Linked DNA regions of Stegostoma tigrinum. The protein of the gene in region 2 binds, or shares a complex with, the protein of the main gene of each other region. Links are inferred from orthologs where the notes say so. Each region holds a gene or a part of one and is shown on either strand. Other genes may lie near its edges.

Region 1 (3,750 bases), on a different chromosome or scaffold from region 2:
CGGGTGGCATCATTATGGCACTGCACGAGGCCCAGGATGGACATGTCGACTTAAGGAATGGGAGGGGGAGTTAAAATGGTTCGTGACTGGGAGGTGCAGTTGTTTCCTGCGAACCGAGCGGAGGTGTTATGCAAAGCAGTCTCCAAGCCTCCACTTGGTTTCCCCAATGTAGAGGAAGCCACAACGGGTACAGTGGATGCAGTATACCACATTGGCGGATGTGCAGGTGAGCGTCTGCTTGATGTGGAAAGTCTTCTTGGGGCCTGGAATGGGCGTGAGGGAGATGGTGTGAGGGTAGGTGTAGCACTTCCTGCGGTTGCAGGGGCAAGTGTCTGGTGTGGTGGGGTTGGAGGGGAGTGTGGAGCGGACAAGGGGGTCGTGGTCTCTCCAGAAGGCAGACAAGGGTGGGGTGGAAAAAATGTCTTTAGTGGGTGGGGTCGGATTGTAGATGGCGGAAGTGTTGGAGGATGATGTGCTGTATCCAGAGGTTGGTGGGGTGGTACGTGAGGACTAGGGGGATTGTCTTATGGCGGTTATTGCAAGGGCAAGGTGTGGGGGATGAGGTGCAGGAAATGCGGGAGGCACGGTTGAGGGCATTTTCGACCACTCCGGGAGAGAAGTTGCAGACCTTGAAGAACAAGGACATCTGGGATGTGCAGGAGTGGAATGCCTCATCCTGGGAGCAGATGCGGCGGAGGCGAAGCAATTGGGAATAGGGGATGAAATTTTTGCAGGAAGGCGGGTGGGAGGAAGTGTATTCCAGGTAGCTGTGGGAGTCAGTGGGCTTGAAATGGACATCGGTTTGTAGGTGGTTGCCTGAGATGGAGACAGAAAGGTCCAGGAAGGTAAGGGATGTGTTGGAGATGGTCCAGGTGAACTTGAGGTTGGGGTGGCAGGTGTTGGGGAAATGGATAAACTGTTCGAGCTCCTCTGGGTAGCATGAGGCAGTGTCGATACAGTCATCAATGTAACGGAGGAAAAGGTGGGGTTTTGGGCCAGTGTAGGTGCGAAAGGGGGACTGTTCCACATAACCTACAAAGAGGCAGGTGTATGGGCACCCCCTTATTCTGTAAGAAGTGGGAGGAATCGAAAGAGAAGTTGTTGAGGCTGAGGTCGAGTTCGGCTAGGCAGCTGAGGGTTTCGGTGGAGGGGGACTGGTCCGGTCTACGGGACAGGAAGATGCGGAGGGTCTTAAGGTCATCTGCATAGGGAATGCAGGTGTATAGGGACTGGACGTCCATGGTGAAAATGAGGTGTTGGGGACTGGGGAATTGGAAGCGTTGCCCTTAACAGCATCCATTCCAGCTCACAAACCCATCTGCGGACACGGCTCCGCCGACACATATACCGCCACGCCCACACATACCCGGGGGAGCTGACACATACTCGACCACGCCCACATAGGCACCCACGCCCACACACCCTGCTGCGCCGACACATACTCGACTACGCCCACACAGACAACCACACACACACACCCGACCACGCCCACACACGCTCCGCTCCGCACGAACAGACTCGGCACCGTTTACACATACGCGGTCTGCCTATAAGTGGATAAGAGGGTCTCTGATGAAGGGTCTAGGCCCGAAACGTCAGCTTTTGTGCTCCTGCGATGCTGCTTAGCCTGCTGTGTTCATCCAGCCTCACATTTTATTGTCTTGGATTCTCCAGCATCTGCAGTTCCCATTATCTCTGCCTATAAGTGGTACCACCCACAACGACTCGGCCCTGCCCCTGTTTTACCGAGACCCGCCCCTGCGCTTACCGCCACGGCCGCCCCGCTCTGCGGTGTTACGTCGTGGCGTGCACCGCTGGAAGTGATGTAGAAACTTGGTCGCGCGGACGGAAGGTCAGATCCGGTGAGGGGGTGGGGTGTGCGGGCTACCGACTATGGACAGCCGTTTGCAGGAGATCCGAGAGCGGCAGAAACGGCGGCGTGAACTGTTAGCCCAGCAGGTGAGAGCCATTGTCTTCACACCCCCGGTGACAGTATTCCCGGGAGCACTTCAGATCCAGCGCCTGGTTTAAAAGGAGCGATCAGTTTAGGTACATCTGAGGCCGGGCTTCGGTGAGGCCGGCACAGGAGGTCGTTCATTCCACGGTGTTTGCACTAAATCTCAAAAAGAGCGATTCACCTGGCTTCTTTGTTCTGTCTGTAACCCTCCACGTAACCGTCCATCTCCCTTTCGGAAATTTCGATTGAACCTACCCGTTTTTTATTTCATTATTGTCATATCTATCTAAGTACAGGTGAAAAATTTTGTTTTTCGTGTCTTACGGCAGATCACAACATTAAAAGATACAAGGGTCATAGGGTGATTGAACAGAATGAGGAATGCAAAGTTACAGCTGCAAAGAAGGTGTGCAAAAGTAAGGTTAACACTAGATTTGAAGTTTGAGTTCCATTCACCTGTGTAATAAAGACAGGGGAAAAATGCTGTTCTTGAACCTGTTGATATATATGTTTAATGTGTTGTATCTTCTGAGGTTGGAAGAGAGTATAACTGGTGTAGGAGGGGTGTTTGATGTTGGCTGCTTTTCTGCGGCATTGCGAGTAGATGGAGTCAGTGGATGGAAGGTTGGCTTGTGTGATGGCCTGACCTGTATTCACAACTTAGTGTAGTTTCTTACAGTTCTAGGCACAGCAGTTGATGTGCTAAGCCATGATGCGTTCAGATAGAATGTTTTCTGTGGTGCATTTGTAAAGGTTGGTGAAGGTCCTTAAGGACTTGCTGAATTCCCTTAGCCTTCTGAGGAAGAAGAGGTGTTTTGCCACCTTGACTGCTGCATGAATTCATGCAGTCCAAGATGGATTGTTGGTTATGTTCTCTCCTAGGAAGTTGATGCTGTTACCCACCTCCATTGATGTAGATGTGTTCTCCTTGCTTTCTGAAGTCAATGATCAGCTCTTTAGTTTTGCTGACAGTAAGGGAAAGATTATCTTTGCACCATGTCACTGATTACTGTGTTCCTTTCCTGTATTGTATCTCATTGTTTTTTGATATTCAGCCTAATATGGTGGTGGTGTCAGCAAACTTGTTGATGGACTTCCTCAGGAGGCTAAGGGAATTTGGCAAGTCCTTAAGGACCCTCACCAACCTTTACAAATGCACCCAGGGAGTGGTGAGCCTGTGGAATTCACTACCATAAAGTGTTTGAGGCCAAAACATTGTATTTTCTAGAAGGAGGTAGAAATAGCGCTTGTAGCTGAAGGAATCGAGGAAAATGGGGGGAAAGATGGGATTATGGTAATGAACTTGATGACCAGCCGTAATCACGTTGAATGACGAAACATGCTTGAGGGGTTGAATGACTTCCCTTATGCACCTTCTGTGTTTTTGTGCAACTCCTATCTCTACAGATGCTGCCAAACCTGCTCAATTCCTCTGTACTTTTTTCAATTTGAATCAATCTATCTGCTGCTTTTGATAAGTCATCCAGTTGAGTGGTGCCTGCTGTCATTTGGTTTCATTCTTAATCGCACCTAAGGAACCACTCGAATGGTTTCTCTTCCTGCTCCAATCATTACTGCTGGTGTTCCTTAATGATCCTTCTTTGTTCCCCTTTGTACTGGCTGCTGCCTCTTGATGATATAATGTGAAAGCACATAAATGTTTCGCTTCCGCTCCTATACTCAGCTCTATCTTCCATCATCTCTTATGACTATCTACTGTGAGCTGCTCCTTCAACATCCAGTCCTGGATAAACAGGAAATTCCTCCAGTGAAGTATGTGGGATACTTAAACT
Region 2 (3,750 bases):
GCTGTGTTCATCCAGCTCTACATGTCGTTATCCCAGATTCTCCAGCATCTGCAGTTCCTACTATCTCTGAGGCAAGAACCTGCGTTTGTGTACGTGGCTAAAAAAAAATTGCCTGCTGTCTGCAATAAATACAGAACTGCCTAGATCTACTGGTTTAGCAGATTTCCTCGCAATCCACGCGTAGCTCAGCCACCCATGATACCACGGGCAATCCTCTGGCTGCATGTCCCCTGGACGAACCACCAACCTCAACAGTATTCACAACTGAATACTTAGTTGGAGAGTGGGACACACTCAAGGCAATGTGCGTTATCTGCCTGTTTACTCTTCAATGTCCGGTGAGCACCTTCGTCTTCTTGTCTGTGGATGTTAACTGGATGGTTGTGTGTGTGGGTGTGTGTGTGTGTGTGTGTGTGTGGGTGGGGGTGTGTGTGTGTGTGGGTGGGGGTGTGTGGGTGGGGGTGTGTGTGTGTGGGTGGGTGGGTGTGGGTGTGGGTGGCTGGGGGTGTGTGTGTGTGTGTGGGTGGCTGGGGGTGTGTGTGTGTGTGTGTGTGTGTGTGTGTGTGTTTGTCTGTGGGGGGGGGGGAATGCAATGCAATGCAGTAGTGACGGTTGTTGCTTAAATCCTGAAACACAAGGTCCGAGCTCCTGCTGATGCTTCCTGTGCAGACGGTTAGCCAGGGCGCGGGAAGGATCCTGGAGTTCCCACACCCTCAAGGTTGAGCCTCCGTTACCCCGTCATTGCTTATCAATTCCAGGCCCTGCTATCGCTCATCATTCCACTGGTTCACCGATCTCCCCGTTGCCGATGGAGCCTTGGCCTTGGTTCTGAACCGTGCGCCCACGCGGTCTCTGGGCCTTCTCGGCTTGTCTCCGGGTCTTCACAGGCCGGCGTAAGTGCAACCCTTCGGCCATAATGACGGGACATCGGGAAGGCGTGCGTTCCGCAAGCCGAGGAACAGCGTTCGCCTGCGGTACCGGCAAACAGCAAGACCACCGCACCCTCACCACGCACAGGCCGCTCGGTGTGCGTCATGACGCCACACGCCACGTCCAAGCCCGCCGGGCAGGCAGAGCCGCAACGGCGCACGGCGTGATGGTGTCATTGGAAGCGGTGCGCCCGGACGGGGGTACGCAGGAAGCGGTGAGGTCAGAGCGCTGGGTGAGGGCGAGGCACGGGGGGGGGATGAAGCGGAGCGCATTCTTTCGGCGGGGATAGCGGCAGAGTGGTATCGTTTGACAAGATGGCGAGTGGGGAGCTTGGGGCCTGAAGGGGAGTCCGTGGCGGGTCCCCTTTCCCCGGGGGGCTTGGCGATCGGCGTAAGCTGGTGGTGCAGCCTGGGCCTACCTTCCCCGAGAAGGGCTGGCGGCCTAGCGCGGGGTCGGTGTGAGGAGGAGAGGAGGGAGAGCCGGGTGGTGGTGGGGGTGTCGAGGGGAGGCAGGCCTTGGGCCCGCCATGAAGAGACAGAACGAGCGCGACTCGAGCCCCAGCTCGGCTCCAGGCAGCGGGAGAGCGGCCAAGAGGCCCCGGGAACGGGAGAGAGAGCGGGAGGGCCGGTCCGCCAGGGAGGAAGGTGACACGGGCCGAGGAGGAGGCGGCGGCGGCAACTATCACAAGGCCGGCCTGAGCGCCAAACACCCGGGGGGTCGGAGCAGGAGCCGGAGCCGGGACAGAGCCGCGGGAGGAGGGGACAAATCCAATAGCAACAGCCGCAGGGAGGAGAGGGGGGACCACCATCACCACCACCACCACCATGAGACTGTTAGCTCTGCCAGGTTGCCCACTGCCAGGTCCAGCTCTGCCCAGAAAAACAAAGGTGACAGTAGCAGGCCTGCTGGCCTCGAGTACAAGACCCTGGTGATCAGCAACCTGGGCTCGCAGTTGACGGACGAGGCGGTGGAGGATGGTCTCTTCCATGAGTTCAAGAAATTTGGGGAGGTGAGCGTTAATGCAGCACACACCCCTGAAGGGGGCCGGCTGGCATATGTCCATTTCCGGCACCACGAGGACGCTAAGGAAGCAAGGCATGCCAAGGGCCGGCTGGTGCTCTACGATCGACCCCTCAAAATTGAGCCGGTGTACCCCAAGAGGAGGAGTTGTACTCCACCCGAGGTTAACTTTGGATCTATCCACACTGGGTATCAGTATCGGCAACGTTCTTTGTCACCGGGGGCCTGCACCCTCCGAGACCAGCGGACGAGACATACTAATTATCCCATTGAGGCAGTACCACTGGCAAGGGAGAGGGAACGGTCGTTAGACTATTACGGATTATATGACGAGCGTGGGCGAGCTTACAGCTACCCTGTGCAGGAGGATGATTTGATGCCCGAGGATGACAAGCGAGCCACAAGGAACTTGTTCATTGGCAACTTGGATCACAATGTTTCAGAGACTGATCTGAGACGTGCTTTTGAGAAGTACGGCATCATTGAGGAAGTGGTCATCAAGCGCCCGCCCAGGGGGCAAGGGGGTGCCTATGGGTTCTTAAAATTTCAGAATTTGGACATGGCACATCGAGCCAAGGTAGCCATGTCAGGCCGGGTGATTGGCAGGAACCATGTTAAAATTGGATATGGCAAAGCCAACCCAACGACTCGATTGTGGGTGGGTGGGCTGGGACCCCTGACCTCACTGGCTGCACTTGCCCGGGAGTTTGACCGGTTTGGCAGCATTCGCACCATTGACTATGTGAAAGGCGACAGCTTTGCTTACATACAGTACGAGAGTTTGGATGCTGCGCAGGCTGCCTGTGCTCAGATGCGTGGCTTTCCACTTGGTGGGCCTGACCGGCGGCTGAGAGTGGACTTTGCTAAGGTGGAAGACACACGTTACCAGCAGCCGTACCCACAGGCACCGCTTCCAGTCCCCTTCGAGCTGTTGGCAGATGGTTTTGGTCGGCACCGGAGCCTGGAGCGGGAGGCCAGGACACGTGACCGGACCCCACCACTGCCCCTATATCACGAACGGGAGAGGACCTATTTGGACGGTGACTGGAGCAGCCCGGCCAAGAACCTGGAGCGCCGCAACAACACTGACGCTGTTTCCATCCGTAACCGGGACCGCTGGCTGAATGAACGGGAGAATGACCGCAGTACTGTTGCAGCCAAGCCCTGGGAAGAAAGGCGGAAGCGCCGGAGCCTTTCCAATGAGCGTGTCCGACCTGTACTCTCGCCTTTTGAGGACCGGGTGAGGGCTAAGCCTCGAGGCTCGTTGGAGCTGAGCCCAGATAAAAGGAACCGTGATGCTCGTGGGGCTGATGGCACCACTGAAAAGGAGCAGGTCATCTCTGGCCCTTTGGAGGATCGGCGTCTGCTTGTTGAGGATAAGGTGTCTTCAGATGCCCAGGACTCTGTGCAGCTTAAAAAGAAAGACAGTGAGCGCAATCACAGAACTAGTGAGATCGAGCCTGAGCATAAAGCGAGTATTGATGCTCCAAAAACAGAGACCAAGAAGCCAGCCAATTTGCTGGAGTTTGCACAGGCACTCACACTTGCCTGGAATGGTGTCCTTGTGCTCAAGAACAGCTGCTTTCCCACAAAAATGTTCACACTTGAGGGTGACGCTGCCATTACCCATTCCCTCCTCAAGGATTCTGTAACGGGTGCACGGGTGTCACAGCTGAAGATTGCTCAGCGCCTACGTCTTGACCAGCCCAAGCTGGACGAGGTGACCCGTCGCATCAAGCAGGGCAGCCCTAATGGCTATGCTGTGTTGCTCGCTGTGCAGGCTCCCCAGGGTGCTGAGGG
Region 3 (3,750 bases), on a different chromosome or scaffold from region 2:
AAGAACTGTGAGGCTTTAAAAGTCTCTTCCTTTAACAGCAGTCAATGTATTAAGACAAACTGAGGGAGTTAAAAGGTACAGGAATGGGCAGGGTGGGGGGGGTGGGTGGGAAGTGTTGAAGTTACAATCAAACAAGCCATGAATGATACAGCACTTGAAGAGTTAAACTGCCCATCAACTCTTAATTCATAGATAATGGGAACGTTAGCTTTTGTGCTCCGAAGATGCTGCTTGGCCTGTTGTGTTCATCCAGCTCTACACTTTGTATACAATGAAAATGTGGTATTGACACAAGGGAGCTGATACTATATTAAACAGAAAGATCCCTGAGAATCCTGGTATATGCCAACTTCAATGTGGGACAAAGGATATTGCTTTCTTTCTTCAATCACAGCATCATTGGTGGGCGTGCAGCGTACCTACTGAACACGGACAGCTGTGGTTCAAAAACATGGCAACTCACCACCTGCAAGTTCCTACTATCTCTGAAACGACCACCTTCACAAGGATGGGCGCGAGAGGCCATTCGACCCATCGTGCCTGAACGAGCGTTATTCTGAGGAAGGGTCACTGGACCCGAAACGTTAACTCTGATTTTTTTTTTCTTCACAGATACTGCCAGACCTGTTGAGCTTTCCTAGCAACTTCTGTTTTTGTTCCGTCATTACTTACTGCCAGTTTCCTGTCCTACTACTCCAAATCCTCGCACAGTACATTACTTCAATCCATATAATCAGCCAATGCCTTCCAAAGGATCCCAAAAGAAGAGATAAATTCCCTGTTTGTAGGTTGTAGCCTGGAACATGAGGGGAGTTCGATTATTACAGTTTGCTAACTGTCGCTCATTCCCGATGACACTTTCCTTTCGGGTTTTTAAAACCATGACTGAGATACACGATGTAAACACCACTACACAACTCGCTCCGACCGCTCCCCTCCGTCCCAACCGTCCACATCCTACTCACCGGGCATGCGCCATGGGCAGTCGGAAGTATCTGGCAAGGAAGTGACGCATGAGGAGACATGGCGGACACAGCGGCAGAGCTGTTGTTTCTAGATACGTTCAAACACTCAAACTCGGAGGTAAATCCCTGCGGCCGCCTTTTTAGTCATTCATCGGGACCGGCTTCTCTTGTTGCAGCTGCTTTTGTAAATAGCGCTCGGGGTGTTGCAGCCGGAACTGGGCCTTTAATCGCGGAGACGCTGGGATCTGGCTGCGGTGGTATAGCGACCCAGGATTTGTGCCCTTTCCTCTGTTGGTGGCCCGACATAGCCTTCAAATTGCGTGGTACACACGATAGTTTCGACTTGCTAAAGTCTCCCCTACCTCCTTGTCCTCCAGTGTTGCATGTTTGTTTTGTTTCTGTTCAAGTGATAGTTCCGCCCCCTTTCCCCCACGTTGAGCCCAATTAAAGAGTTGATCTGAAAATCGGGACTAGATTTTAAAGTAGTTTCACTTGATTTGAAGGAATTGTTAGCGATTTCTGTGCAGCGCTTTCGCGGGATAACTTGATGAACGAGAATGAGATGCGTTGATTGCAAACAGTTTTTGAAACGAGAGACAGCATAAAACATTGTAAGCTATTTTAGCTTTAACTCCTTGTGTTATACACCAATTTCATTTTGCCAACTTATGTAGGGCAAATCTGAAACATTGTAGGAGATCACGTTTTACAAACCAAGAATGCTAGTGTTCACAATTTTCTCAGATGTTATGCAGCTGAATCGGCAGTAGTTGGCTAACACAGGTCCTCAAATTATAATAAGGGAAAATTAGATTATAGATTTGTACTTGTCTGCATGAAATATCTTTAGTTAGTAGATTCTGCTGCTGTTATTGGATTTAAATGTTCACGTTTGTACACAGCATGGTAATTTTTTTGTTAAAAGCTTCAGTTTCAGTAGAGAACTGAAGACAGGGAAAGTCAGAGTGAATTTGACCATTATCTTAGTTCCTGATGATAGTTGCTTTAAATATTTCGGCGTCAATTTTGATAATCAGGTTTATGTTTCAGAGGATAGTTAAGAAACTGCCATTATTGAGTGGAGCTGGAGTCACAACCAGACTGGGCAAAGCTAGCAGATTTCTTTCCCACAGCACATTGATGGACCAGATGGGATTTTGATGAAAATACACTGGTTTAATGATGTTCTTGACTGAGATGATATCTTTTTAATGTGGATCTACAAATGAATTGAATTGAAGTTGCATATGATTTCATCTCATACCTTCAAAATATTTGGACCTTAGTGTATTGCTGGGACAATTGTTGATAAAAGTATTTATTCTGTGCAGCGCTAGTAGTGTAACTGAATTGTAATATTAAAAAAATTCAAACAGCATGACTTAAACTGAATTGTTCGATTTGCAGGAAAAATAGATTTACTTTTCCTGCTAAACACAAAAGAATAAAATTATTAGTTGTAAAGTTAATTGGCAGGACATAGTATTTTGAAACACAGCAACCTAGTTATAGTTTGCCAAATGTTTCTGCTTTTTCTATGGTCTCATATTGTTGTCTGAAATTACTTTCTGCTGAAGATACTCTTTCAAGTTGAAATATGGGTGATGGTAATGCTTCATAAATCTGGTTTTCTTTTTGTGGCATTTCTTTCTGTGACCTGTACAAAGTACCAGGCTGTTATTAAGGAGGGACATTAAAATTAAGTTTGATTCTGACAGGGGTTTGGAAATTGATTGCAAATCGGAGCTGAATCTTGATATGTCTTGGAGTTGTGTCTGTGATGATCTTTAACTAATATAACCAGTTTTTAGACTTTAGACTTTGGACCTTATCAATGCCATAACTTGAACTGTACAATACTGTACTGTTTTAAATCTAAGGTAAACTTTGACCATTTTCCTAATAAGTAAATTTAAATTCAAGAATCTACAACCTTGATGTTATAGAGTCATACAGCATAGAAAGAGGCCCTTCAGCTTGCCATGTCTATGCCAATCAACAAATATCAAGTTATCCAAACCCATTTACCCTGAATTGGTCTATAGCCTACTATGTTGAGGTATTTTAAGTGCTCATCCAGATGCTTCTTAGATGTTGCGCACCTACCCATCGCAGCCATCCACTCAGGTAGTACATTCCATATTTCTACCACCCTGTGGGTGAAAACATTTTTTCCCCAGATCCCCTCTAAACCACTTGCTCCTCATCTTAAACTTGTGCTATCTGGTCTTAGACATGTCTGGCGTGGAGGAATGATTCTCACAATCTGCCCTATCTATGCCTCTCATAATCTTGTATACTTCAAATCAGATCCCGCGCCCAGCACCCCCCCCCCCCCCCCCCCCCCCCCCACAGCTTCCTCTGCTTCAAGAAAATAAACCCAGCCTATTCAGTCTCTCCTCATAAATGAGACATTTCATCCTAGGCAACATCTGGTGAATCTCCAATACAGTCATGCCGTTCTAATAGTGTGGCAACCAGAACTGCACACAATATTTCATCTGTGGCCTAAACAATGTTTTATAAAGTTGTAACAAGACTTCTTGCTCCTATATTCTACACCCCACTTAATCAAGACAAGCATCCCATATGCCTTCTTCAGCACCTTTTTTACCTGTGCTGACATTTTCAGGAATCTGTAGGCTTATTCATCAAGGTCCCTTTGTTCATTAGTCCTCTGTAGGGACCTACTGTTCATTGTACTTATTCTTCCCTTATTAGACTTCCCAAAATGCATCACTTCTCACTTGTCAAGATTAAATTCCATTTGCCATCGCTGTACCCA

What was found.
Region 1: rbm15b (region 2) and mettl14 share a complex: the UniProt entries of both Homo sapiens proteins name them as parts of the WMM complex. The link is inferred for Stegostoma tigrinum from reciprocal best matches to the Homo sapiens genes RBM15B and METTL14.
Region 3: rbm15b (region 2) and virma share a complex: the UniProt entries of both Homo sapiens proteins name them as parts of the WMM complex. The link is inferred for Stegostoma tigrinum from reciprocal best matches to the Homo sapiens genes RBM15B and VIRMA.

Annotation. Positions count from the first base shown.
Region 1 is NC_081354.1:67,562,010-67,565,759, forward strand, and holds the start of mettl14 (N6-adenosine-methyltransferase non-catalytic subunit), read left to right. Parts: upstream 1-1,545; 5' UTR 1,546-1,893; coding exon 1,894-1,959; intron 1,960-3,750. UniProt on the Homo sapiens protein: The METTL3-METTL14 heterodimer forms a N6-methyltransferase complex that methylates adenosine residues at the N(6) position of some mRNAs and regulates the circadian clock, differentiation of embryonic stem cells and cortical neurogenesis.
Region 2 is NC_081364.1:63,277,214-63,280,963, reverse strand, and holds the start of rbm15b (putative RNA-binding protein 15B), read left to right. Parts: upstream 1-1,162; 5' UTR 1,163-1,456; coding exon 1,457-3,750. UniProt on the Homo sapiens protein: RNA-binding protein that acts as a key regulator of N6-methyladenosine (m6A) methylation of RNAs, thereby regulating different processes, such as alternative splicing of mRNAs and X chromosome inactivation mediated by Xist RNA.
Region 3 is NC_081358.1:91,435,640-91,439,389, reverse strand, and holds the start of virma (protein virilizer homolog), read left to right. Parts: upstream 1-972; 5' UTR 973-1,023; coding exon 1,024-1,083; intron 1,084-3,750. UniProt on the Homo sapiens protein: Associated component of the WMM complex, a complex that mediates N6-methyladenosine (m6A) methylation of RNAs, a modification that plays a role in the efficiency of mRNA splicing and RNA processing.